Linked DNA regions of Stegostoma tigrinum. The protein of the gene in region 1 purifies or fractionates together with the protein of each later gene. This does not show direct contact. Links are inferred from orthologs where the notes say so. Each region holds a gene or a part of one and is shown in the gene's direction. Other genes may lie near its edges.

Evidence for each region.
Region 2: the proteins of polr2g (region 1) and regulation of nuclear pre-mRNA domain-containing protein 2-like purify together in Homo sapiens (affinity purification with mass spectrometry; 3 studies listed by BioGRID and IntAct, counting the BioPlex papers as one, with this or other methods). This does not show direct contact. The link is inferred for Stegostoma tigrinum from reciprocal best matches to the Homo sapiens genes POLR2G and RPRD2.
Region 3: the proteins of polr2g (region 1) and gpn3 purify together in Homo sapiens (affinity purification with mass spectrometry; 3 studies listed by BioGRID and IntAct, counting the BioPlex papers as one, with this or other methods). This does not show direct contact. The link is inferred for Stegostoma tigrinum from reciprocal best matches to the Homo sapiens genes POLR2G and GPN3.
Region 4: the proteins of polr2g (region 1) and gtf2b purify together in Homo sapiens (affinity purification with mass spectrometry; 3 studies listed by BioGRID and IntAct, with this or other methods). This does not show direct contact. The link is inferred for Stegostoma tigrinum from reciprocal best matches to the Homo sapiens genes POLR2G and GTF2B.

What each region holds. Positions count from the first base shown.
Region 1 is NC_081395.1:6,055,795-6,062,812, forward strand, and holds the start of polr2g (DNA-directed RNA polymerase II subunit RPB7), read left to right. Parts: upstream 1-3,993; 5' UTR 3,994-4,185; coding exon 4,186-4,197; intron 4,198-7,018. UniProt on the Homo sapiens protein: Core component of RNA polymerase II (Pol II), a DNA-dependent RNA polymerase which synthesizes mRNA precursors and many functional non-coding RNAs using the four ribonucleoside triphosphates as substrates.
Region 2 is NC_081400.1:2,610,807-2,618,126, forward strand, and holds the start of regulation of nuclear pre-mRNA domain-containing protein 2-like, read left to right. Parts: upstream 1-4,301; 5' UTR 4,302-4,794; coding exon 4,795-5,068; intron 5,069-7,320.
Region 3 is NC_081379.1:24,206,140-24,213,353, forward strand, and holds the start of gpn3 (GPN-loop GTPase 3), read left to right. Parts: upstream 1-4,198; 5' UTR 4,199-4,344; coding exon 4,345-4,392; intron 4,393-6,030; coding exon 6,031-6,139; intron 6,140-7,214. UniProt on the Homo sapiens protein: Small GTPase required for proper localization of RNA polymerase II (RNAPII). May act at an RNAP assembly step prior to nuclear import.
Region 4 is NC_081361.1:89,377,451-89,384,615, forward strand, and holds the start of gtf2b (transcription initiation factor IIB), read left to right. Parts: upstream 1-4,142; 5' UTR 4,143-4,236; coding exon 4,237-4,256; intron 4,257-7,165. UniProt on the Homo sapiens protein: General transcription factor that plays a role in transcription initiation by RNA polymerase II (Pol II). Involved in the pre-initiation complex (PIC) formation and Pol II recruitment at promoter DNA.

The sequences.
Region 1 (7,018 bases):
TCACCTTAAACCTATGCCCTCTAGTTTTGGACTTACCTATTCTGAGGAAATGACCTTGGCTATTTACCGTATCCATGCCCCTCAAGATTTTATAAACCTCTATAAGGTAACTCCTCGGCCTTCAATGCTTCAGGGAAAATAACCCCAGCCTATTCAGCCTCTCCCAATAGCTCAAACCCCCCAAATCTGCGAACATCCTTATAGATCTTTTCTGAACCCTTTCAAGTTTCACAACTTCCCGCCTATAGCAGGGAGACCAAAATTGAATGCAGTAAAGGGAATGCTAAAAGTGACCTAACCAACGTCCTGCACAGCCACATGATATCCCAACTCCTATATTCAATACAGTGACCAATAAAGGCAGGCATACCAAGCACCTTCTTCACTATCCTAACTGCCAGTCCACTTCCAAGGAACTATAAACCAGTACTCCAAGGTGTCCTTGTTCAGCAACTCTCCCTTGCACCTTACCATTAAATGTTTAAGTCTGCCCTGATTTGCCTTTCCAAAATGCAGCACCTCACATTTATCTAAATTAAACTCCATCTGTCAATCCTTGGTCCATTAGTCCATCTGATCAAGATCCCATTGTACTCTTAGGTAACTTCTTCACTGTCCATTACACCTCCAATTTTGATGTCAACTGCAAACTTAGTAACCATATCTCGTTTGTTTGCATCCAAATTATTTATATAATGATGGAAAGCAGTGGACCCAGCACAATCTTTGTGGCACACCGGCGGTCACAAGCCTGCAGTCTGAAATATAACCCTCCACCACCCTCTGTCTTTTAACTTCAAGGTCTTATAAAAGGCAGATGAAATACTACAAGTAAAATAGCATGGTCCTTCCAATCTTTTTAATTGGTTTCAGTGGGCTGAGAAGTATTGTAGTGCAGATTGACTTCTTACCTTGGCTTGGCTGAGGGTTTTTGTTTTCAATATGTATATTGCCTTCCTGAACTGCTGGTGGTTTAAGTAGAATCAGATCATGATGACAACAGCCTGGTGCCAGATTTGCTGATATAAGTAATTTACTTCCCTAGACCACTAATAATCTTTCCTCTAAAAGATTTCAGTCATTTCCATTTATGTTAAAACCTGAGCCATGGAGTTTCTGAATAAAAACAGAAAGAATTGTGGATACGGTAAACCAGGAACAAAAACATAAATTGCTTGAAAAGCTCAGCAGGTCTGGCAGCATCTCTGAAGAAACAAACATGTTTAATGTTTTGGGTCCAATGTCCCTTCTTCAGAGGGTCCAAACTTCTGATTTTTTTCGTCACAAGATGCTGCCAGACCTGCTGAGCTATTCCAACAACTTCTGTTTTCATCTATGTGGTTTCTAGATGTTTTATTTTGCATTTGTTCAACAGATATGGACATCAAGCATATCTCTCATCTCTAAATGTCTCTGTAGATGATGGGATGTGAGCTACCCTCTTGAATTGCTGCAGTCTGTGTGGTGTGTTGCACCAACAGTGATGGTTGGGAGGATATTTCATATTTTTATCCAACAACAATGAAGGAATAACGATTTAGTTCCAATTCAGGATGGTGATGTGGCTTGGGCAGAAACTTGCACGAGGTGACTTCTCATGCACCTACTGCCTTTGTTCTTCTCAGTGGTAAAAGTTGCAATTTTGGATTGTGCTGAAGGAGCCAGTGATGCGATGTCGAAGGTGGTGGGATGGGTTGCTGAGAAAGCATTTCAAAAGGAAGAATCACACTGGATTTGGCATGTTCATTCTATTTCTCTCTTTACAGAGGCTGTCAGACCTGCTAAGTTTATCCAGCACTTTGTTTTCATTTCAGATCTCCAATATCCACAGTAGTTTGCATTTGTTTTGTCCTGGATGGTGTCCAGCTGCTTCAGTGTTGTTAGCCCCATCTCAATCCAGGTAAGTGGAGGATATTCTATGACATTGCTGACTTGCAGATGGTGAAAAGACTAGTTTTCTTAATTTCTCCAGGAGATTCACCAGAATATTGCCTGATCTGGTGAGATTCAGCTGTGAGGAGAAACTAAGTAGAATAGAATTGTTTTTCTTACAGCACAGATGGTTGAGGGGAGGCGTAAATGAGGGGTACAAAATTATGACTGACGTAGAGAGTACACACTGAGACTAATTTCCCTTCATAGAGATGTCAATAAGCAGGGTGCACAGTTTTAAGGTAAGGAGCACAAATTTTAGAGGAGATTTAAGGGCTTTTTTTGTTCACCCAGTATGTGGTGGGTATCTGGAACTCATTACCTAAAAGAGTGATAATAAAGTGTGAAGCTGGATGAACACAGCAGGCCAAGCAGCATCTCAGGAGCACAAAAGCTTTCGGGTCTAGGCCGATCTTGGATTCTCCAGCATCTGCAGCTCCCATTATCACCTAAAAGAGTGATATAGGCAGTACCTGTCAAGACATTTAAGAACAGTTCAAATGAACATTTGATGACACAGCACGCAACTCTATAGCACACAGCTAGAATACTGCAAAAGTTTTGGTCCCCTTACCTAATTAAACATATTCTAGCATTGGAAGCAGTCCAGACAATTTTCACTAGGTTGACCACGAGTACAGAGGAATTATCCTACAAGAAGTTGAGACATTGGGCTCATACTCATTGGACTTAGTTGAATGCAGATGGCCTTATTGAAACATAGAAGATTCTTAGGTTACTTGTCAGGGTGGATGCGAAGAGGCTGTTTTCCCCTTGTGGGAGAGTCTAGGACCATAGGACATAATCTCAGAGTAAGGGGTCGGCCAGTTAAGACAGAGATGACGAGGAGTTTCTTCTGAGGGCAATGAATTTGTAGAACTCATTAGAGGGCTGTAGATGTTGGATCAAGACCGAGATAGATATATTTTTAATCAGTATGGGAAATGAACAGAAATGGGAAAAAAACAGGAAAACTAAGTTGAAGGTTATCAGATGAGCTGTGATCTCACTGACACGATAGCCTGAAGAGCCATGCCTCTGCTCCTAGGACCTATGGTCTAAGGCTGTGGACCAAATGCCAGGAAATGAAATTTGAGTAGCAACTAGATTTTCCGTTATTGGTGCGGACACCAGTACTGGTTTGAGGCAGACCTGCTGCCTTAGGATGCCAGGAACCCAGTTTCGATTCCACCCTCAGGTGACTTGTCTGTGTGTGTAATTTCCACGTGTCTGCGCAGGGGTTTCTTCTGGGTGCTTCCTTCTGTTTTCCTTCCACAGGACAAAGATGTGCAGATTAGAGTGGACTGGCTATGCCAAATTGACCAATTTTATTCAGAGCTGGGCAGGCAGGGTGGCTTCGCCGCGGGAAATGTGGAGTTGAGGGGGTCGACTGGAGAGACTAGGTGGGATGCTCTCCAGAGTAACAGCGTGGACTTGATGGGCTGTATAGCCTGTTTCCACATTATAGGGATTCTAATTTATGAACAGCTTCTTTCTGCAATGTAAGAAGAATTCCATGACTCTCCACAAGATAAGCATGCAATAGGGTACATGCCATATGTACAAAAAAAATGGATAGATACTTGAAGTCTTTTATTCATCCTCTAACTATTCTTGGACATTTAGAGTTCCATGCAGCATAATTCTCCAAACTAAAACTTCATTTGCGCAAAGACACTGGGGCATTGAGTATATTTATGGCGGACACGGACGGGTTTTCAACCGTTTAACAGGTTGAAGGATTATGGCAAAACAGAGCAACCAAATGGACGTTGAGCCTTGGGATTGAGGTCAGCTTCCATGGCGTGGCAGTTCACAAGGCCTACTCCTAGTTCTTAAATTCTATGTGTATGTTGACGGTGGACATGAAGACGGGTGGCAAGCAATTATCCTGACAGGAGACGGAGATCATATTTGGGTGCGGACCGGAGAGGGTCTCGTCGCCTCCTCGGGTTGAGGGAGGAAAATGGCGCCCGCCCATCCCAACGGACGACGTACGGAAAATGCGTGGAGGGTCACGTGGCAAGGAGGGCGGGCATAAGGCGCGTGACGCTCTCGGCGTCAGTTGGCACGTGACCACCACGTCGCCGACCGCCTCTTGCCCCCCCCAAGCACGCCGCTTCAGCTACCAAATCGCCGTTCAGAACCGCGGCCGGCTAGTGCGTGGACGGTTGGCTCTTTCCGGGTTGAGAGAAGTTACTTCACACACACCACTTCGCCCCCTCTTTAGAGAACGTTTAAATTGTCGCGGCGATGTTCTATCATGTGAGTGGCACATTTTGGCCCGTGTCGCGCGGATCGGGAGGGCAAGACGGTGACAACCGAGCGGTTAGGGTGGGGGCAGGGCAGATGACGCTGCGGCCGCTAACGCGCCAGCGTGCAATCACGTGTTGATGCGCGTCGTCATTGTGATTGACACGCACCCCGACCTATAGGCGCCGTGGTGGGCGGAGGCCTGCTCATATTGATGGCTGTTTCAGCAAATGGTGAGGAGGGGGCGTAGGCGGAAGGTGTGTTTCATTGTCCATTCAAAGAAGCAAAGTTGTGCAGCTCAGAGATGATGGGACTTGCAGATGCTGGAGAATCCAAGATAATGAAATGTGAGGCTGGATGAACACAGCAGGCCAAGCAGCATCTTAGGCGCACAAAAGCTGACGTTTCGGGCCTAGACCCTTCATCAGAGAGGGTGATGGGGAGAGGGAGCTGGAATAAATAGGGAGAGAGGGGGAGGTGGACGAAGATGGATAGAGGAGAAGATAGGTGGAGAGGAGAGCATAGGTGGGGAGGGGATAGGTCGGACAGGTCAAGGAGGTGGGATGAGGTTAGTAGGTGGGAAATGGAGGTGCGGCTTGGGGTGGAGGAGGGGATAGATGAGAGGAAGAACCGGTTAGGGAGGCAGAGACAGGTTGTACTGGTTGTGTGGTGCAGTGGGTGGGGGGGGAAGAGCTGGGCTGGTTGTGTGGTGCAGTGGGTGGGGGGGGAAGAGCTGGGCTGGTTGTGTGGTGCAGTGGGTGGGGGGGGAAGAGCTGGGCTGGTTGTGTGGTGCAGTGGGGAGAGGGGAAGAAGTGGGCTGGTTGTGGGATGCGGTGGGGGAAGGGGAGATTTTGAAGCTGGTGAAGTCCACATTGATACCATTAGGCTGCAGGGTTCCCAAGTGGAATGTGAGTTGCTGTTTCTGCAACCTTCGGGTGGCATCATTGTGGCAGTGCAGGAGGCCCATGATGGACATGTCATCTAAAGAATGGGAGGGGGAGTGGAAATGGTTTGCGACTGGGAGGTGCAGTTGTTTATTGCGAACCGAGCGGAGGTGTTCTGCAAAGCGGTCCCCAAGCCTCTGCTTGGTTTCCCCAATGTAGAGGAAGCCACACTGTGTACAGCGGATGCAGTATAAGGGTCTAGGCCCGAAACATCAGCTTTTGTGCTCCTGAGATGCTGCTTGGCCTGCTGTGTTCATCCAGCCCCACACTTTGTTATCTAAAGTTCTGCAGCTGTTGGAAATCTGAAACAAAAGTAGGATGTGTTAGCTCAGTTAGCCAGGTGACTGTCTTGCCATGCACAATGATGTCAGCAGTGCAGGTTCAGTCCCCACATCAGCTGAGGTTACCATGGAAGATCACAGACACCTTTTACAGTGTGAAAGCAGGCCATTCGGCCCATTGAGTCTACACTAACCCTCTGAAGAGCATTTTCTCTCTCACTCTCTCTCTCTCTCTCTCTCTCTCTCTCTCTCTCTCTCTCTCTCTCTCTCTCTCTCTCTCTCTCTCTCTCTCTCTCTCTCTCTCTCTCTCTCTCTCTCACGCCCCCCCCCCCCCCCCTCGCCATCTCTCCTACCCTATCCCTGTAACTCCTGCATTTTCCAAGGCTAACCCACCTATCCTGGACACTGTGTTGCAATTTAGCACAGCCAGTCTACCCTCACTTGCACATCTTTGGACTGTGTGGGAGGAAACTGGAGCACCTGCAGGAAACCCATGCGCACTCCAAACACACCATCACCTGAGGCTAGAATCAAACTTGGGTCACTGGCTTGGGAACCTTGCAGCCCAATGGTATCAATGTGGATTTCACTAGCTTCAAAATCTCCCCTCCCCGCCACTGCATCCCAAAACCAGCCCAGCTCGTCCCCGCATCCCTAACCTGTTCTTCCTCTCACCTATCGCCTCTTCCCACCTCAAGCCGCACCTGCATTTCTGTGAGGTCCTTGGGTTATTCTTAAACCTAATCCTCTCCCTAATGAGAGAGCAGACCTGTGGCCCAGTAAGGTTATTGCCGATTTTGAGTTATGAACGAAGGCTTTTCTGTTCAGAGGGGCCAATAACTGCAGGTGGGGGCTGATTGTGGGATGCGGTGGGGGAAGGGGAGATTTTGAAGCTGGTGAAGTCCACATTGATACGATTGGGCTGCAGGGTTCCCAAGCGGAATGTAAAGGAATTCCCACCCAAAATGTAGTGGTTCTCCAGAAGTTGCTGCCTAAAAGGAGGTAGAGGGAGAAACCCTCAAGACATTTAAGAAGTATTTGGATGAGCACTTGAAAAGTCACAGCATACTGGCCACTAGCTGGGAAGTCGAATTGGAGGAAGTAGCTGTTTGACTAGTGTGTGTGGCCATAATGGGCCTTTTCTGTGGTGTAAAAACTGTCTCAAAGTTTGAGATGCAGTAGACCTGTTCCAGCTAATGACAACAGACCCAACTTCTGTAACCTATCCACAAAACTGAAAGTTCCTCACCCCGTCGCCATCTAAGAGTCTCGGAAAGGTTTGGAGGAAGGTTTGATTTGATTTATTGTTGCCACACATACCTAAGTACAGTGAAAAGTTTTATGAGCAGTACAGGTGGATCGTAGAAAACAAGGACGTACGGATCAGGGGGCGCCTACAGAGATGGAGGCATACAGGTTACATCCGCACAGGATGCGCACAGCGAGGTCAGCATTAGATTTGGAATTGGAGAGACTATGGGTCAAACACAGGCGAGTGAGACTAGTTTAGTTTGAGAACATGGTTGACGTGGACTAGTTGTACCGAAAGGTATTTTTCTATGCCGTATGACTCTATCCCATACGTCTTCTAATGTCTTCACAATTTCT
Region 2 (7,320 bases), on another chromosome or scaffold:
AGAGGTGAATGCTCACTGCAGTGGAGTGACCCTGACTTGGCCACAGAGAGGTGGGTTGGAATCTCTCTGGTCTGAAGGCTGGATTGCCCCTGGTTTGGAGGATAGCCCAGTGTGGTCAGGATTTTTACTGCACTTTGTACTTGAGCCTGAGGATATTGTGAGAGCTCTCTGTGCTGCAGTGGTCCTGTTTCTGATGCTGAGGTTAAGACAGATTGTTTCTTTGTGTAGCAGAGCTTTACTCTGAAGCTAACTCTGTGCTGTCCCTGTCCTAGGAGTGATTGATGGAGGCAGACAGTGTAGAAGGAGTTTTAATCGTTATCTAACCCCCTGCTGTAACAGCTCTGAGATGATGCAATGCTGACTCCGGGGAGTGATGTCTAATGTGCGAAATTGTCCCACTTCTGCCATGTCCTGAACTTGACACTCTGACAACTGCTGGCATTCCTTGACATATCTCAAGGTGACCGTCTCATTCTACCCTTATGTCCTGTGCTCAACCTGAATAATCTCCCATTAACAGCTGATTGTTACCTTTCAAGTGAGAACCTCAAAGAGTGTGTTAACAGCCTGTAAAAAGAAGAGAAGCTGCTCAGATACGATTTCAGTGCTGTAGAGGGTTACAGCTTGGAGTTTCATAATAAAGACTAATTATTTTTTTTCTAAAGTGTCAGTGCAGTGTTCTGAAGTTTGTGTCCTTGGCAGCAGTGTAGCACAGTTGCCTCTTGATGTGATTTATCGTAGTCACGTGTACCTCAGTACATTGAAAAGTGTTGTTTAATGAGCAGTACAGGCCGATCACAGCAAACAAGGACATACAAATCATAGTGTGCTTAGACAGAGCAAGGCATACAAGGTTATGACTTCACAGGAGGTGCACAAAAATCAGCATTAGCAAGATCAACATTATTTGAAATTAGAAAGGTCCATTAAGCAGTCTAATAACAACAGAGAAGATGCTTCTGTACCTTCTGCCTGATGGAAGATATTGGAAGAGAGCATTAATGGTGTGGGAGGGCTTTGATGATATGGGCTGCCTTTCCAAGGCAACGAGAAGTGTTAAGTGGAGTCCATGGATTGGAGGATGGCTTCCATGACGCTGTCACCATTTATCCTTGTTTTACAGTACACCCAAACAGCTTCACTTCTGTCTGGGCGGCCTCTTGTCAGTGGAGTCAATGTCTTCTTACCATAGGAAAGCGAAGAGGTCATTTGTTGCTGGAGCCTCATCACCCCCAATCCTGTTGCACTGGATCATGACTGACCTGTAACTCAAGCCCATTCACCCTGTTCAGATGGCTTTACTTGGCAGCAACCCATCCACGGTGGCCTGCGCCACCGAGCAGCAAGATTCCAGGTTTGATCTTCATGCTGCATGAGTTGGGGCCTAGCTAGGTTGCCAGCATTCATAGGTGAGGCAAGACAACAACACATTGAAGTGGGTGGTAAGATTTGGATAGACCAGGTGGACCAGAACAAATTAACCTACAAAACAAATACCAGTGCCCATTGGAAATTATGCAGATCAACTTAACGATGCTTTCTTCTGTTAGATTGTAGTTTGAGCCAACTAAGAACTGTGTTTCCTTGGCAATTGTCAAGCTAACAGCTGCCGCTCCCTGAATTGCGTTCCAAAGGTACCACCTGATCATCATCCATGCCCCAGTGTGTCGCTCTTTTTTTGCCGTAGATTCATACAGTATGGAAACAGACTCGTTCGTTCATGCTGACCATAAATCCAAACTAAACTAGTCCCACCTGCCTGCTCCTAGCCTATATCCCTCCAAACCTTTTCATGTGCTTAGTCTTTTAAACATTGTAACTGTGTCCATGTCTGCCTCTTCCTCTGGAAGCTCATTGTATATGTGAACCATTCTCTTTGTTTAAAAAAACAAATGCCCCTCATGTCTTTCCAAATCGTCGTCCTCCTCACACTTAAAATATGCCGCCTAGCCTTGAAATCTTGTTCACATCATGTCAGTTGGTAGCAGCCCCATCATTCAAGTTTGATGCTTGTGGGCTCAAAGCTGACTGGGCATTTATAAGTGATAAAATACTAAGTGAGCAGTGCACTGTTTGAGCACTGATAGAATCCACACAGTGTAGGAGCAGGCCATTTGATCCATGGAGTTTATACCGTTCCTCTGAAGAGCATCCCACCCAAACCTATTCCCCTATCCTATAACACTGCATTTCCCATGGCCAATCCACCCTAATCTGCACATCTTTTGACTGTGGAAGGAAGCGGGAGCACCTGTTGGAAACCCCCGCAGACAGCGGGGAGAATGTACTAACTCCACGCAGGCAGTCACCAGAGGCTGGAACCCAACATGGGCCCCTGGTTCTATGAGGGGACAGTTCTGACCACTGAACAACTGTTCCACCTTGGTGGAGGGGTGCACTGTTAGAGGTTCAGTTGTGAGGGAGTGTAGCATTATTGTACGTTTGTACCGTCAGTGCTGTGGGTGCACTGCACTGTTTGGAGGCTCAGTGCTGTGGGTTGTCACACTGCCAGAGCATCAGTGTTGAGGGAGCGGGCAATGATAGGGCGTCAGTGCTGAGGGTTTGGCACTCTGAGTTACCCCATGGTGGGGTCTCGTCATGCAGATGATTGGCTGACTGTTTTGAGCACTGCCTTATTTTGGAGAAGAGCAGGTAAGTTCTTCATGGTATCCTGGCATGATAGTTAAAAGCACATTCCAATACTTCAGCCAATTACTTGCTTATTTAGAGATAATGGGAACTCTGTGTGTGTGTGTAGAAAGAAATCTACCCGAAATAAACATTCGGTCCGCCTCCCCCTCTCTCCCTATTTATTCCAGTTCCCTCTCCCCATCCTCCTCTCTGATGAAGGGTCTAGGCCCGAAACGTCAGCTTTTGTGCTCCTGAGATGCTGCTTGGCTTACTTGCTTATTTAACCATGTTTTGGGAAAATGGTGTTTGAAAACTGCCACACTTGGTGCATTGCAACTGTGACTTTGGGATGGTTAAAACACCCAGTGTTTCAAGTCACGTGTGGAAAGGAATAATGATAAAATCGAGGGTTACAGGGACAGGATGGTGGGATGATCTTTGGAGCCAGTGCAGACTTGATGGACTGAATGGCCTCTTTGCTCACCAGGGAGTCAATGATAATGGGAACTGCAGATGCTGGAGAATCCAAGATAATAAAATGTGAGGCTGGATGAACACAGCAGGCCAAGCAGTATCTCAGGAGCACAAAAGCTGACATTTCGGGCCTAGACCCTGCATCAGAGAGGGGGATGGGGTGAGGGTTTTGGAATAAATAGGGAGAGAGGGGGAGGCGGTCCGAAGATGGAGAAAAGAAGATAGGTGAGGAGGTAGGGAGGGGATAGGTCAGTCCAGGGAAGACGGACAGGTCAAGGAGGTGGGATGAGGTTAGTAGGTAGGAGATGGAGGTGCGGCTTGGGGTGGGAGGAAGAACAGGTTAGGGAGGCAGAGACAGGCTGGGCTGGTTTTGGGATGCAGTGGGTGGGGGGGAAGAGCTGGGCTGGTTGTGTGGTGCAGTGGGGGGTGGGGATGAACTGGGCTGGTTTTGGGATGCGGTGGGGGAAGGGGAGATTTTGAAGCTGGTGAAGTCCACATTGATACCATATGGCTGCAGGGTTCCCAGGCGGAATATGAGTTGCTGTTCCTGCAACCTTCGGGTGGCATCATTGTGGCAGTGCAGGAGGCCCATGATGGACATGTCATCTAAAGAATGGGAGCGGGAGTGGAAATGGTTATTCGACTTAGGGAAAGAAGGCGTGTTCTGACGAAAAGGTGTGGAGGTGTGTTGAGAAGGGGGCGTGTTCCGAAGGGGAAGGGGCGGGGCCTTTCGGAAGGGAAATGATTGGGGAGTTGTTGAAAAGGAGGCGTGTCCTAGTGGCAAGGTGGTGTGCTCTGAAGTGTTGTGCGGAGTCCGCGGGTAGGGGGAGGGGTCTGTTGTAAAGTGGGCGTGTTCTGTGGGATAGTACGCAAAGGCGGCTCTGGGGAAAGGGGCGTGTTCTCCGTGCAATGGACGGAATCTGACGGCAAATGGGCGGGACCTGAAGGTTAGCGACCGGGCAGCAAACAAGGGGAATGGATCTGAAACAAATGGGTGGAGCCTGAGCGCAAACGGGCGCGGCTTGAGGAATGTGGGCGGGGTCTTAGGGTCGGGGGAGGAGCCTGAGGAAGAGTCGGCTGAAACGGGCGTGGTGTCGACGTCTGCGCCTGCGCGCTGAGGGTGGAGGCGGGGCCGAACCGCCCACTTAACGGTCTCGTACCCCCGCCCCCTCCCGTCGCCTTCGCGATAAGGGGTGCAGGGGACGAAAAGGAAGAACCCCGTTTGCAATCGGGGAGATTTTTTTCCACTTTTCGGTGGTGGGAAAGAGAAGCTTGGTTGGGCGGGTGTTTGCCAGCACTTTACCTTCCTCCCCCTCCCTCATAACCCCCGTTCCGTCCTGTCCAAATCAAAGCGGAGGTGAGGACAGTAGAGAAAGTGAAGCGATCGAGAGAGAAAGTAACCGTCGTCTCTCGGCTGGTGGTGGGGGAGGGGAGGTCACGTGGGCCGGACGACAGGCCGCGCACGCTCCGTCGCAAAGGAGATCACGTGCTCTCGCTCGGTGCGCCGTCATCACCACCCCCCATCCCCACGAACAGCGTCGTGCGTGTGCCCCCCTCCCTCCGCCTCCCCGTTCCCCTTTTGGCGTCGCCTGTGCGTGCGCGCAGTCGCGTCTTGCGTCGCCGCGCACGTCACCTGCTTCGGTGGGGGCGGGGCAAACAGCGAGGGAGAGCGAGAGCGGAGGGAGCAAGATGGCGGCTGTCGCAGCAGCAGCAGCGGGAGGGCCGGCCGTGGCCGCTTCTTCTTCTTCTTCAGCAGCATCGTCTTCGTCGTCATCATCCACTACCTCCACCATTCCCAGCGGCTCGTCTTCCTCCCTGGCAGCTCTGGAGGCTGCGCTGGAGAAGAAGCTGCTGACGGTCACCAACACGATGGACGGCATCCAGGGCCTGTCGTCCTGGATCCTGGACAACAAGAAACACTACAGCTCCATCGTCAAGCACTGGATGAAGTGCATGAGGAAATGTGAGTGGCCTTGCTGGACATGCTGTCTACCTGCGCAGGGGCTCGTTGTCTTCTGTCACAAGCAGCGCCCATTTGTCCAGCCCAGCAAACTTTTATTTTTTTTTGCAATCCTCATTGGCGAGCATCTATCACGCTTGGGAGCAAGTGTTTTTATGGTATTCCATTCCTCTCCCAAATCCCCTTCCTCTCGCACTCCCCATCCCAGCCCCCAGTCAGTTTTTATTGCCCCTCAGCCACACAGTGACAATAAACCTAATTCTAATACTTCGCTCTGACTTGTAATTATTGCCCCCATTCAATTACTGCACCCACCCCCATTTAGTAATACACTCTCAAATTCAGTTATTATGCCTCCTTGTTTAGCTATTATGCTGCCAGAACCCCCCGCACACCAGTATGTGACCTCCCCAACCTGTTTCCCTCCTGCCTGATTACTCCCCTCCCTCTGAACCAGTGGTTATTTGCCCCCCCTCCCCATTACAGAGGTTATTCTTCACCCTGAACCAGTGGTTATTTGCCCCCCCTCCCCATTACAATGGTTATTCTTCACCCTGCCCCCCCCCTAACCAGTGGTTATTTGCCCCCCCCCATTACAGAGGTTATTCTTCACCCTGAACCAGTGGTTATTTGCCCCCCCCCCACCCCCCATTACAGAGGTTATTCTTCACCCTGAACCAGTGGTTATTTGCCCCCCCCACCCCCCATTACAGTGGTTATTCTTAACGCTGCCCCCCCCAACCAGTGGTTATTTGCCCCCCCCTCCACATCAAAATAGTTTGCAATTCTTACCACATCCACTCCTGAATTTAATAATCTGATTTCTGTAAGTACAGGCCAAAAGTACTTACCAGCCTATTCAAACCTACCTGAATTGATTTTGGGATGTTTGAGCTCTGGTCTCCCTGTTCCGTCCCCATTCTTCGCTCCACTCTCGGGCTTATTAAGTGGATGTGAAGGGACAGGTCAGGTTGAAAGACATCTCAATTTTCAGGAGTTATTTGAATTCTGCAATATTGATCATGTATGATGATATCGCGGGTGGTTAGCACTTCATGAAACTTTGTGTAGCTGTGTTTCAAGAAGGATGTGTCCTTGGTGTGCACAGGGTGAATAAATTGCAGTGGAAACAGTGCTTAGTAAGAAATCTGTTTCTGTGCTGGGATGTGCAGAACTCTCACTACAATGAGCACACTTGCAGTGTTGTTAGTTTGTAAACTGACTTGTGTTGCACAAGTACTTGCTGCCAAATAAGCTGTTTCTCAAGTTTTACAAGTTATATTGTTTTCTCCCTTTATATGAATTGTGTGTTGTGTTCTGTGAATATTGTGAGGCTGATCAACTCTAAGATGAAACTTGGAACTGTGGATGCTGAAGATCTGACAGAAAAACAAATTGGTGGAGCAACTCAGGCCTGGCAGTATAAGTGGAGAGGAAAAAATAGTTAGCGTTTTGAGTCCAGTTCTGAGGAACGGTCATTGGACCCAAAACGTCAACTGCGTTTTCTCCCCATGGATATGCCAGACGTACTGAGTTTCTCCTGCAATTTGCGTTTTGTTTTGTACTAGATGTACCAGGCTTGTGAAGTTGTGTGGGCGGGATGTCCTGTCGTTTATTTAACCGGGCATCACTGGCGCGTGACTTTAATGGTTTTGCTTTGTTGTTATGGCTGCAAGAGACCTGCATGTTGAGGGTTAAAAGCATTAAACCAGTTCAAAAGCACCTTCTAAGCTGTGCTCATGCTGCTATAAAATGATTTGCATGTTTGTAGGTTAGGGTGACATGTCCTCTGAGTCCCTATTCCCCGTGCAAGGTAGGCTAACCTTTTCGCTGCAACTTCAGACAGAGCAGCTCGATCTGATGTTACTCGTGTAGTATGTCAATCTTTCATGTACCTAGCCACACTGCAATTGAGGTGTTTTTAGCAGCTCTAGGCTGATTCTGTAATCTATCTTCGTTTCTTCAGAAGCAGCCCCATGTCAAAGACCGCAAGCTGCACACCCAGTTGAGAGTAGATGAAAACAGTTGAAGCTAAGATTTAAGGAAAACACAATGTGTTGTGAAACATTTGTGCTGGTGCCCTCTTTGGCACTTCGGAAACACCTGGTTTTAAAGTTGAAGAGTTGGTTGAAATTCACCTTTGGAGAGCACGTTTTGAGCTGGACCACCGGCACCGCTGGTGATGATGGGTGCGACTTGAGTTGAAAGAAGTTACTGTTCCATTGGTTTGATGTGTTACCAATGTGCTACGTGAG
Region 3 (7,214 bases), on another chromosome or scaffold:
TGGGTCTTTATATACAAGTCTCTGTGCCAACTGTATGCCTTATTTGGAATTATCCATGCATGTGAGCAAACCTGAATGTTTCATCCAAATATATGCCTTATTTGGAAGAGACAGCGGTTTCTGACTTCCAGCCTTAGCTCTTAGCTGACTGACAGCTGATTCTTAAGGTGTTTGACAGGATTGATGATCAGAGGGTGTTTCTCCTCGTGGGGAGTCTAGGACCATAGGGGCACAGTATCAGAATTAAGAGACACCAGTGTAAGACCGAGATGAGGAGGGATTTCTTCTTGTGAGACTTTGGTATTTCTTGCCACAAAGAGTGGTAGAGACAGAGTTATTCATATTTAAGACTGAGAAAGATTTTTGATCAGTAGAGGAATCAAGGGGAATGGGGAGAAGGCAGCAATTGGATATGAGGAATACTGGATAAGTCATAATGCTATCAAATAGCAAAGCAGGCTCAAAGGGCTTATAGTCTACTTCTCTTCCTATTTCTTATAGTGTTATGTCGAACTCATCTTAGAATTACCACTATGTCCACCTTTAAGCAATATGCATGCCAAACATACAAGTCCTACACTACAAAAAAAATCCATTCTTGTTGCAATATAAATCTTGTTTTTGCTTCCTATTGCTGTTCATTTAGATTTGGAAGATGCATGTATGTAAATGTCAGACAACAACAGGATCAGTCCTTGGGTGGGATGTCTTTAATGTTTGAAGTCAGCCATTGCTTCTTGTGCAATTGCACAAAAGCAGTCACATCATTGAGAAACTGGAAGACCTCTGATGTCCAATGCATGTAAGTCAGCATCGGTCCTAACTGGAGAAGAAAGTTTTTTAAAAAATCTTTATACTATGGTCAGGTAAGAAAGGCATTGTTTTGAAAAGGTGATAGCTGAATACTTAGTTAAGTAGTTGTGAAATCTTGATTGGTATAAACATGGCACTGGCAATTATTTTGTGAGATTTTGCTAGTTTTATTCTGTTGTTGGTGTAAAAATTAATTAGGCCTAACCATTAGAGATACTTGCTGGATATATTGTTACTTGGGCAACCAAAATTTATTATTGGTTGTGAACTCAGTATGGCACTTAAGAATAAAAACACTTTGAATTTATCCAGGAATAGCGCAAGAATAATATTAATTGGTACTTATAACAATTCAAATTTTATTTCTCTTCATGAATATCAACAGAAAATGTGTTCAACCAAACAGAGACACACACGAGAATTCCTAGAAGCATGGCATTCCAACTGGAACTCCATCAACAAACACATTGATTTGGAGCCAATCTACCATCCCCTGAGAAAAAGAACAGGAAATGACATCACCAACGCAGGAAATGACATCACCAACCCAAGGAAACCTAACCAGATAAATAGAAAGCAGGACATAACACCAGTGCTTCGTCGGAGGCTCACTGATGATGTTACCTAGTATGGTGACGAAACGTCTGAAAACGAACCTTCCAGCTCAGCGAGCAAACTCACATCCATGAGCAATAAGTGCTGGCCTGCCAGTGATGGCCACATCCCAGAAATGAATAAAAACAAACTTATCTGAAAATGAATACAGTCATAAAAATAATTACAGTCTAGAAGGATGCAATTTCAACTATCAGCTTCATGCCAGCTCTGATTGGGGGAATCTGATCAGTTTTATTCCCTTGTTGCATTTGCCGTATAGTCCTGCAAGTTTATTTTCTTAAAGGGCCATCTAATTTCCTTTTAATACAGTTAATTGTCTCCACTTCCACTACTGTTGTAGGCAGCAAGTTCCACATTATTATCACTGGCTCCACAAAAATTCTTCATCATATCCCCCTGCATCTATTTCTCTAAACCTTAAATCTATGCCCTCCAGTCCTGCAAGACCAGCTAATATGAATAGCTTTGAGTTTTGGTTTAATTGTTTAGTTAAATATATGACAAAACTTAAGAATTGCATATTAAAAGTTTTGAAGAACATTATTATGAACATATGAATTGAATTATTCCATACAAGTCATAAAACAAAATACTAAAATCTGAGCACCATAGCCATTTGTAAACTTGATTTGTAGTATATATTCTCCAATCAGCAGCTACTCATATTTTATATGTTAATAAGTGAATTCTTTAAACAGATAATAGCCACTTTTGTAATATTACCCAGTGATAATTTCAGCATTAGGCAGTAATTGTAGTTACAATCCCTTGACTTGATCTACTTGTTTAAAACCTTGCTATCATGTTTATTATTGCATCTGAAAATCAAGATTTGGTTTAACATATTGTATGAGATAACAAAATCTGTGTGCACTCCTTGCTGATCACTCATCTATCAGAACAATTAGAAGCTATTGTGAGTTGAAAGGTTGAAGATCAATTTCCAACGAAAGATATTATTTCTTCTGCTTTTTTTTAACTTCACACAATAACGAAAATGCTGTCGATATCTTCAACGTTTATAGTGAATGAAATAAAGCTCTTCATAAATATGTTTCTTTAAAGGTTCACAGTCTTCATGAAGTGTGTTATTTTGATTTGAGATGCAGAATGCATGCCTTCAACAAATTTCAGTGAGATTTAACATTTTGCATTAGAGCTGGAGTAACAAAGCATCTAGTTAAACCTCAAGAAGACACTATAAACTCTATCCATGTAAATACTACAAGAATCAATCTTTTTATTTTTGTGTCTTTATAAATTGTGGACTGCAATGAGGAAGTACTGTTTTTAGAAACAGGGATTTGCCACCATAGTTGCATGATTTCACAGCATGAAATGGAATTCTCATTGTAAATGCTGTGTATTTATGTGGCTTTGAGTTCCTGCAATTTGGAGGTGACAAAGAACTGAGGAGTTGTTTACAAAGCTGATAGGTTATCAGCCAAATGAGCAGGTTGGAACTGGAGAAAAGTAACAGCGACAGACACACTGAGAAGAATACCACAGAGAGTGAAAATTAGAGAGAATAAAACCATAGTAAGCTAGTAAAGTCCATATTGAGACCATTGGGAGCTTTCCTGTTCCTCTAATGCTGCCTGGCCTGCTGTGTTCCTTCAGCTCCACATTGTGTTATCTCAGACTTCAGCATTGGCAGTTCTTACTGTCTCTGACCACAGAAAATGTGTTGTTGTTCTTCCCACCAGAAGCTGCCTGTTCTCTGCAGTAGAAAAAAAGTTGGTTTTAAATTGAGGAAAAGCAGTTACCTATCCTGTAGCAGTTGCTGTCATCTGTGACTTTTGAACTGATAAATCAGACATTTTCTAACTGAATCAGTCACTCTACACTCTTTACAAACCAATGGAAGCTTTTAGATAAAGACAAAGTAGGATAATCTCAACACTGGAATCAAGAAGCAGAAACTACTGAACTGATTTTCCAGTTTTCTTCCAACTCCTCCAATAATCTTTTCCCTATTTGTTTGTCTATGTGTGTGTATAAAGGAGAGTTCAAATGGGGATAAGAATTTTAGTGAGTGGTGTTAAATGCCAACCTTTTTCTCTTTGTAGCTGTAATCTAATTACTTACAATAAATAACAATTGATGTTTCCCCTCATGAGAGAGTCTAAGACCAGAGGTCATAGCCTTGGCATTCGGGGTGAGGAGGAATTTCATATAGGTTGTGAACTAATGAAACGTCTTGCCAGGGTACAGAGTTCTCGTATATATTTAAGGTTGGGATAGATTGATTTTTGATCAGCAGAGGAATCAAGGTTTTATGCTAAATGGCAGGAGACTGGAAATTAAGAGCGTTTTTATCAGCTGTGATCCTACTGAATGGCAAAAGTTGGCTCAAGGGACTGAACGGCCTATCCTGTTCCTATTTTGTCTAATTTTACTGTGAAGTATTGGAACTTGCTCTGTGCTTTCTATAAATCTTAGTCTAAAAGTCAGGTAAATTGGAGTACGAGTTAGCAGTCATAAACTGTTTCCTTCGGGTTTTCCTTATGTATTCTAATTTTAAATCATGAATTCAAGACGGCTGAAGAGCGTTTAATTTAAACTAAGGTAAAACATGCTTTATAAAGGAACCTATGTCATTTCCTTAATAAAAGAATTAGTGTTTAGGATTGAAAAGAAAATGTTACCAAGTTAAAGGGACGATATTAACTCTAAGTGTTAGAAAAACGAGCTTCATGTGAACATTTCGAAATGCGCGTTTCGGGAGGAGCGTAACCTAATTCCAAAGGGGCTTCCGTAACCAGAAAGTAGTAGATGTGGGCGAACAAGGTGTAGGGCTGGATGCACGCAGTAGGCCGAGGAGCCGGAAGGCTGATGTTTCGGGTCTAGACCCTTCGGTGTGGGTACCCGGATCTCTATCTATGTAGTTTATGGGTAAAGGTGGCAGGAGAGATGCCTCGTTTCGCTCAACTTGTGATGGGGCCTGCCGGCAGCGGGAAGGTATTTAACGGCATTTCGATCTCGGCAATAACAAGAGCGTGCTTTTATTTAGCGCACTGGTGTGAAAAATATGAAAATTATGCCGTAAAGGGATTGGCCAAAACAGACTCCTTGATTTTTTGATAATCATTAGCTGTAATACTGTCAGGGAACCTCCCGCAATATTAAAGATTGTTATCATAATATTGTACGCTTATTCGTACAATGGTCTTAATTCGTTGTAAATGTGTTTATTTGTCATGAGACTAAAGAAGTTTTCACAAAACCTGTAACTAGAGCTATGAAAGTTTGTACCCCTTTTGACATGTTTTGAGTAATTCCACCACGTTGCACCCTCTCTCTAAACTCCACATTTCTCTCTACTTCAAATATTTATCAATTTTTGATTAAAATTTGCTATTCGCTGTAGCTTTGTATTCAAACATTCCATGCTTCCAACAATGCTGTTAGGAATCTTTTTTTTTCACCCTTGTATACACTTTAATTGATAATTTGAAAGTGATGAGCCTTGATTAGCACCTAAGGCAGCAACCATGTCTGTTTATGGGTCATAATTTTTTTTTGTTTTGAAAGTGTTGAATCCTACTCTCTCTCCCATAGAATTAATTCTGATCTGTCCAGGCTGCCCTCAGAATAATAGCTTTCCATTGCTGGTGTTCTAACTCTGATTTATATGTCTTCTTTAATGGGGAAAGGCTATTTTAATGCAGTTCATGAATTTTATTGGTCAACAGACTTAAAGAAAATTATATCTAGTAAATCATTGTGCCAACTTCTTTGGCTGTGTTGTTTTAATTGATCCTTGGTACAAATACTTAAAAAACCCAATATTTTTGGTTATAAAAGTGTTGGTGATTACAATAATCTTATTTTGGATTTTGTTTTTATGATTTATACAACAATTTGGGACAAAATAATTTGAACCTCCTGATGGAATTGTTTTACAATATGCTTCTGTGTTCTTTATGCTTTGTGACTGCAAAAGATTATATGGTAGGTTTTGGAAGTAACTATCGTTAGATTGGTAAAATGATACTGTCTGATCTTTTTGAAGCAATCAAAGTTCGTTACTAAACCAAACCTCTAAATATATGTAGACTGATGAACATTACTAGATTCATCTGTGAAATGAAGCATGGTGGCTTAGTGGTTGGCACTGATGCCTCACGGTGCCAGGGACATGCGTTTGATTCCAGCCTCAGCTGACTGTCTGTGTGGAGTTTGCACATTTTCCTCGTGTCTGCGTGGGTTTTCACTGGGTGTTCCAGTTTTGTGCCACAGTCCAAAGATGCGCAGCTTTGCTGGATTGGCCATGGAAAATCGCCCATAGTGTTAAGGGATGTGTAGGCTAGTTGGATTAGCTGAGGGAAATGCAGTTACAGGGATAGAGAGGGGGGCTGCATCTGGGTGGGATGTTCTTCAGAAGGTCAGTGTGGACTCGATGGGCCAAATTACCTGCTTCCAAACCATAGGGATTCCGTGATTCTACGATTTACATATTCTTGTTAAAGAGTTTACAAATTTCTAGTTACCAAGCTAGAATTAAGTTATAAAAGAAAGATACTTGAGATTTTGAGTTCTTTCATTTTATATATTTTACATGCAATTTGAAGGTGGATTTGTCACTTTTAATTTCAGAGTACTTACTGTTCCACGATGCAGCAGCACTGTGAGGTGTTGAATCGATCTGTGCAGGTGGTGAACCTTGACCCTGCTGCAGAATACTTTGACTATCCTGTGTTGGCAGGTGAGTTGACTAATGACTTTGCAATTCATCTTGAAAACTTAAGCAAAATATGATGTTTTGAAATTTGCTTTTCCAGCTAAAGTATGTGAAGACTGTATGCGCTTTGCACATTATTGGGGTAGAAACGGGGATATTCGTATATGATCACATAAAATTAAGCTCAGATACTGAAGTAACCAGTGTCCATTTTCAATAAGATTAGAAAATATCCCAGCTTGGACTCCTATGTGGCGAGTGACATTCATGTCACATGAATGCCAGGCAATGACCATCTCCAGTAACAAAGAATCTAACAATCACCCCTTGCTATTTAATCGTGAATTGCTGAATCTTCCACAGTGAACATTTTAGGGTTTGTCACTGACCAGAAACTGAGCTGAACCAGCCAAATAAATTCAGTAGTTACGAGAATAGGTCAGATACTAGGAATGTTTTGATGAGTGACTCAACCCCTGTAGATGATGGGCATGCATTAGGGAAACAAGACAGAACTGTGTTGTAAAACTTGGGTGTAAGTGAAATAGCAGTTAAGCTTGACACCGTCCAGGACAAATTAGCTGGCTTGATTGGCAGCTCACCCATTTACTTCCTTCACCACTGATGCACAATGGCAACACGATACCATCTACAAGATGCTGTAATTCACCAAGGCTTCTTCAACAACATCTTCCAAACCTTCAAACTCTACAAGTTGGAAAGGACAGGGAATCAGATGCATGGAGATCTCTCCACTTCCAAGTTCTAAGGTACACACCTTCCTGACTAAGAAATATATCACTACTCCTTCATTTAACCAGTTCATAATTCTGGAGATCCCCTCCTAACAGTGCTATGAATGTCTGCACACCTGAAAGACTGCAGCTTTTGAAGAAAGCAACTCGCCACTACCTTTGTTAGGCAACTGGGGATATGCAATAAATGCTGACCTAGCCACCATTGCCTACATACCACGAATGAATAAAAAGCAGATAATTATCCCTATCTTCACAGGGTCTTACTAGATAATTGAATGAAAACTGAAAATGCTGAGCTGCTTGCAAAAAAAGTATCAGCCCTACTAATTTTGAGAAATGTA
Region 4 (7,165 bases), on another chromosome or scaffold:
ATGGTGTAAAACATTAATATCTCTCCTGTCTCCTGAGGTTCAACACAAAGATGACCCCTGCTCTCTCTCTAGCTGCTCTCTTCCTTATAGCATCGCTTTGTATTATCCTTCACCTTATCTGCCAAGACTTATCTCAATATCCCCTCTTTGCCTTCCTGATCTTGAGATTGCTGCTATACTGTTCAATATTCACTTGAGCCCAGTTGCCTATATGTAATTTGTTTCCTTTCTTGACTAGAACCTCAATATCTTTAGTCATCCATTGTTCCCTCGTCCTGCCAGTGTTACCTTAACTTAACCGGAGCATCATAACTCTGCACTGTTGTTTTCAAACTTTTGAAAGCTGCTCAGTTGCCAGTCGTCCCTTTACAGTCGGCTCTGCTATAACAACATGTTTCTTCAATGCAAATTGGCTTTAACATTAGATTAGATTAGGTTACCTACGGTTTGGAAACAGGCCCTTTAGCCCAACAAGTCCACACTGCCCCTTGAAGCATCCCACCCAGAGCAATCCCCCTATAACCCCCACACCCCTGAACACTACGGGCAATTTAGCATGGCCAGTCCACCTAGCCTGCACATCTTTGGACTGTGGGAGGAAACCGGAGCACCTGGAGGAAACCCGCGCAGACACAGGGAGAATGTGCAAACTTTACACAGGCAGTCGCCCGAGGCTGGAATCGAACCCGGGTCCTTGGTGCTGTGAGGCTACAGTGCTAACCACTGAGCCACCGTGATTGAAGAATTTAAACTGCTATTTGTAGTATGCAACCTTTCTTTACCTGCATTGGCTATAATGCGATTCTGGCCCCATTAGTTTAAGTGGTGTGGCTACTGCACCATTTTCTTATAATGCAGGATTGCATGAGAATGGATCTAACGTGTTACATCAGAACTGACAGTCCCTGTGAATAATCTTCTCCAACCAACTTTTGAAATTTCCTGTCTCATGCCATTAAAATTTGCTTACTCCAGTTGAAAACTTGAACATTTATGGGAAGCTTCTCCTTTTCCATAACTACTTTAAAACTAATTGAGTCATTAGGTAATAAAATGTGAGGCTGGATGAACACAGCAGGCCAAGCAGCATCTCAGGAGCACAAAAGCTGACGTTTCGGGCCTAGACCCTTCATCAGAGAGGGGGATGGGGTGAGGCTTCTGGAATAAATAGGGAGAGAGGGGGAGGTGGACCGAAGATGGAGAAAAGAAGATAGGTGGAGAGAGTATAGGTGGGGAGGTAGGGAGGGGATAGGTCAGTCCAGTGAAGACAGACAGGTCAAGGAGGTGGGATGAGGTTAGTAGGTAGGAGATGGGGGTGCGGCTTGGGGTGGGAGGAAGGGATGGGTGGGAGGAAGAGCAGGTTAGGGAGGCAGAGACAGGTTGGACTGGTTTGGGGATGCAGTGGGTGGAGGGGAAGAGCTGGGCTGGTTGTGTGGTGCAGTGGGGGGAGGGGACGAACTGGGCTGGTTTAGGGATGCGGTGGGGGAAGGGGAGATTTTGAAGCTCAAGAAGTCCATATTGATACCATTAGGCTGCAGGGTTCCCAGGCGGAATATGAGTTGCTGTTCCTGCAACCTTCGGGTGGCATCATTGTGGCACTGCAGGAGGCCCATGATGGACATGTCATCTAAAGAAATGGTTACCATTTCCACTCCCCCCTCCATTCTTTACAACCCTGCAGCCTAATGGTATCAATGTGGACTTCTTGAGCTTCAAAATCTCCCCTTCCCCCACCGCATCCCTAAACCAGCCCAGTTCGTCCCCTCCCCCCACTGCACCACACAACCAGCCCAGCTCTTCCCCTCCACCCACTGCATCCCCAAACCAGTCCAACCTGTCTCTGCCTCCCTAACCTGCTCTTCCTCCCACCCATCCCTTCCTCGCACCCCCATCTCCTACCTACTAACCTCATCCCACCTCCTTGACCTGTCTGTCTTCACTGGACTGACCTATCCCCTCCCTACCTCCCCACCTATACTCTCTCCACCTATCTTCTTTTCTCTCCATCTTCAGTCCACCTCCCCCTCTCTCCCTATTTATTCCAGAACCCTCTCCCCATCCCCGTCTCTGATGAAGGTTCTAGGCCTGAAACGTCAGCTTTTGTGCTCCTGAGATGCTGCTTGGCCTGCTGTGTTCATCCAGCCTCACATTTTGTTGTCTTGGATTCTCCAGCATCTGCAGTTCCCATTATCTCTGTGTCATTAGGTGTATGGTTGGGAATCACTGCAGGTCAGGCAGCATCTGAGCAGCCGGAAAGTCATTGATTTATGTCCTTTACCTTTTTATTTCTTTGTTCATACAAGCTTGTCAATATGACTAATCAGAAGTTACTACTTTTGAGGTTCTGTTTTTTTAATGTTCTATTTAACCTGTCTTGCACCTTCCTCAGTCCTGTCAAAGGGTTTTGGCCTGAAACGTTGACTTTCTTGCTCCTCAGATGCTACCTGACCTTCGAATTAGAACCCCTACAGTGTGGAAACAGGCTCTTCAGCTCAACAAGTCCACCCAGAACTTCAGAACATCCCACCCAGACCCATCCCCTGTAATCCACCTATTCTACATTTCCCTGAACACTATGGGCAATTTTGCATGGCTAATCCACCTACCCTGCACATCTTTGGACTTACAATGCTTTTCAAACCTTTCATCTATAGACTGTGGCTCCCAGTCTACAGGCCTTATTGTGTCCATTTCATTAGAGAAATATCAACTTGCATTTTCACTAGAAGATTTTTCAGAAATATCTTTTCTAGTTGTGGTAGTAATATTCTCCTTAATCAAAAAAGCCAGATTCCCCCCCCTTCCACCTCCCTTGCTACATCTCATCTAGCATCTGAAACTCGGAGCATGGAGTTGCTTGTCCCTCAGCCATTTCATAATAGCTGTTACATCACAATCCTACGTTCCTTAACGTGTCCTCAGTTTGTTAACCTTATCTTTAAGACCCATTGCACTGAAATTTAATGCAGTTTAATTCTTCAGAGCTACTTCATTCTTTGGGGTTTTACTGTCTTTTCTAATTGTTCTTTTCAGATTCAGAACCATCTTTCTGTTGATCCGTTACTTAAGATCCCTCTATCCCTCTAATAGTTTACAGTTTCCCTTAATAGACATAGTAAATCTCTCCACAAGGATATTGATCCCTTTCCGGTTCAGGTGATACCCATTCTTTTTGAACAGGTCTTCTCTGCACAAGAGGAAGTCCGCGATGTTCCAAGAACCTCGATCCTTGAATATTACATCACTTTTTCAGCCATTGATTTATGTCCTATATCCTTTTATTTCTTCCTTCATACAAACTTGTTAATGGAATTAAATTGGAGGGTACTGCTTTTGAGGTTCAGTTTTTTAAATGTTCTATCTAACCTCTTATATTCAGTCTGTAAAGCCTTAATCTTTTCCTTAACTATGTCATTCCTACGAATGTGTACATTAACTTCCAGCTTCTCACTGACCCTTTTAACAGTATGCTTTAAACATTTTGAGAAGCCCTTAATCCTTGCTCTAGGAGAAACAACATCTTATCCTAGATTCGTGCTCGCTGACACAGAATCTCTGTGTTTGGAGGTGTGGGGAGGTGGAGGTTGGAACGAAGAATAAAAATGGTGAACTGACAGTAGCGTGGATCTTGTAGCTGCTCCTGAGTTTGCAAACTTTCTTTTAGGTTTCTTATAGTATACTATTGAAATGTAGTAAAAATTTTTATTTTGAGTTATGTTGGTTCTTTTGTAGTCAAAAATCCAAAAAGCAAACACTTTTTTTTCCAAATAGTGTTTGCTGAGCTTTCGGAGAAGCTTTTGAATGGATAGCTCAAGTATTTTTTTAAAAATTATACGCTAAAAAAGTTATACATGTAGGAAAGATTCTTTTAAAACATTGCTGAAGAGATTTATTTAAATCACGGAGGAGGATTTTTTAAAAACAATTGTGTTTTTAGAGCTTTCAGAAAGACCTACAAGTTGATGGCTCTGGGGTGAGTTTTTTAATCAATGGATTGAAAGCTGTCTGCTAGACTACCTGAGGAGGAGTTTTTAATTTGATTGTTCAGCTAAGTGGTTGATTTTATTTAAGATTAAATGTTTGATTTTCTCTTTTTTTTGCATGCTTAGTATTCTTTGGGAAAATATAAGGTACTGTTGAAAGCTGCTTTTTAAGCTTGATGACATTGAGGGCATACAAGAGACAGATGCCTAGTAGATTTACAGAAGTGATTTCACAGCAGGATCGGTCAGATAGATGGGTGACTGTCAAGAAAGGTAAGAAGTCTGTTCAGACGTCTCCTGTGGCAATTTCTCTCTCAAACAGATAATTCAGTTTTGGGTACTGTGGGTGGATAGTCTCGGGAAAATAAAAGGTGGTCAGATCTTGGGTACTAGGGATGAATCTTGTAATAGGCGGGGTGTGACAATTTAAAAGAATAATTGCTATAGGAGACTGTTATTTGTTGAATACGGTACGGGGATTGGCTGCCAGGATTTGGAAAAGAGCTTGAATTTTTATTAAAAGGCTGGAGATATGGTTGGTACCAGTGATGTGTGAATTTTGATGGGCCATTTTGTCCTATTCTTTTTTGTATGTTTGTAATTTGGTTTAGGTTGACAAGGTGGAAATCTATAATGGCACGCTTTCAGCCTATGAACCAGAAATGTCATGCTTTGAATCTCAAATGTGCTGAGGTATTTTACTTCTCTTGGTTTAACTCCATCCTGAGCATCTGTGTAGTGCTGATGTGATTCTTATTCAGTAGAGGCAAAAGTAGTACTTAGAAGCCTACTGTTGGTAATGTGTATGTGTTCACTTGCAGAGTTTACCTGACATTTTCTTGTATCAAGTTGTTACAGTCCCATCTGATATAGCTGAAACAGTGCTCTTGCTTTAAGCACTGATTATAGTGCAAACTAAGTTTAAACTTGACACTGTGCCTGTGTCAAAATTCAGAGTGGGTTTGCTTCTGCAGTAAACTAAATTTGTTTTTTCATGCTTGGAAGGATAGTAGAGATGAGTAAACTCTTACCTTTTTAAAAAAAAAATTGGATGCACACTTGAAGCATTGTAATTTTCAAAGCTGTGGGCCTAGTGTGGGACAGTGGGGTTAGTGTAGATAGTGTATTTCAGGTGGTACAGACATGATGGGCCAAAGCGCCTCATCTGTAAAATTTCCCATAATACTCCAACATAATCACTGCAGTGATTTATAATGTGCTAGTGTGATTTTTCTTTTTTAATCTATTCCTCTTGTATGAGTTCAATTAATCATACTTTTTCAACCACTTTTATGGGTTTATTCAATTCGGCACCAAGGTGTCTCGCTGGTCATTGATTTTCAAAATCTTGTAATTTACTCTGTCCATTGATCAGTGTGCAACAGTTCACCTTCATGTTTAACTTACTTGGCCATACGTCTGTCCATTTTACCATCCTATCTTGATGGAGACTGCCACTGGTTTCACTGCCGTCTACTACTTTGCCACATTTTGCATCCACTGCATGTTTTATGATGCTACTCCCTAATCTTAGTCCGGGCAACTTATGTTAAAAGAAAACAAGAGGAAGGTCTGGTACACGTTTGTTTGGCACATTTGCCTTCCATCTTTGAAGCAGTAACACCTGCTGTAGACAGCAGGAACATTGAATGTGTTGTAATTGTCCTTCCAAGAGGCATTTGATAAGTTTATTAAGGAGGTGCAGACTGTGAATAACTTACTTTCTTGAATCCATCTACATATCTATTTGTGTACGTTGGTACACAATGCAGGGCAATATCAATAACTCATAAATATGAGGAGGCATTCGTATGTCAGATCTTTAAAATCATTGCTAGTATACCCCTGTATGGGATCGCACTTGTTACTATGAATGTTCAAAAATCAGGGATTGTGTAGATGATAACATTGGTAAGCATAGAACATGGGCTGGCTAACAAGTGAGCAGTAAGAGCTGATAGGTCTTTTTCAAACTGGCAGGATGTCATGTGTGTACCACAGTTTGGTGCTGTGGGCTTAACTCTTTACAATTGATGAAATGCTTTCGATAAAGGGACTGCAGGTGTAGTAACTGAATTTGAAGATACTAGTGGGAGAATCTAGAACAAGAAGTCAGGGTTTAAAAGTAAGAGGTTGCCTGCTTAAGACAGCAGAGAAAACACTATTTTCAAAATCCCTGAGGGTTAAACCTTCGCAATTCCTTTCGAGTGAATGCAGAATCTTTACCTGTGTACCAAAGATATTTAGGTAGGTTTTTGCTTACAAGGGATTGAAAGTTTATCTGGGATATGCGGGAAGTTAGAGTTGAGATTATAAACCGATTCGTCGTGATTTTATTGAATGGCAGACCAGGTCCGAAGGGCTGAATGCACTGTTCTTGTTCCTTGTTAATGTGTTCATAACAAATTTGTGCTGGCTGAGCTTGATTAGCGCACACCTTTTTGAATGAAAGCTTATTTTGTCAAATAACAAACCTATTTCCTGGCTTAATCCTCTCCCTCCTTTTGAATACTGAGTTTAATATTAATAATCCTACAGTTCCCCCACAACTGTATCTAATGCAGATTGAAAAATTGTGACTGTCTCTGCTATTTCTATTGTTGCTTCTTTCAACAATGCCATCTGCATTCTACTCGGACCAGGTGACTTAACTACCTTTACGGAATGATAATTTTTAAGAACATATTTTCTCTCTACAAGGCTTTTTGCAGCTTTCTTATTGTCTGCTTTCTTAGAAGACAGATGCAAAGTACTAATTTATTACTATGGCTGTGCCTTGTGGCTCTCCATGAAGGATGTTTTGGTCCTTACTAAGTCATAAGTATGTGTTTAAACTTGCATTTTAAAATATTTTAAGCTTCAACTTAATATTGCCATAACATTTGTAGTGATCATTCCTTCCCACCTTGCCCTAACTCTCTCAATGTTTCTCCTGTATTTTCTGCAGTCTTCATGGCTATCTTCTGAATGATACTTCTGACAAACAATAAGCACATTTTTAAAGCCCTTTCATAAGCACCAGACATCCCAAAGCAGTCTGCAGCCAATGAAGTTTTTTCGAAACTTTAAAAAAAATGAGTGTAGTAACTGTTATAACGTAGGAAACATGGCAGCAAATTTGTGCCTGAGAAACCTAAGAAACAGGAATATGATAATGATATTGGTTGAGCACTGCGTTTTGG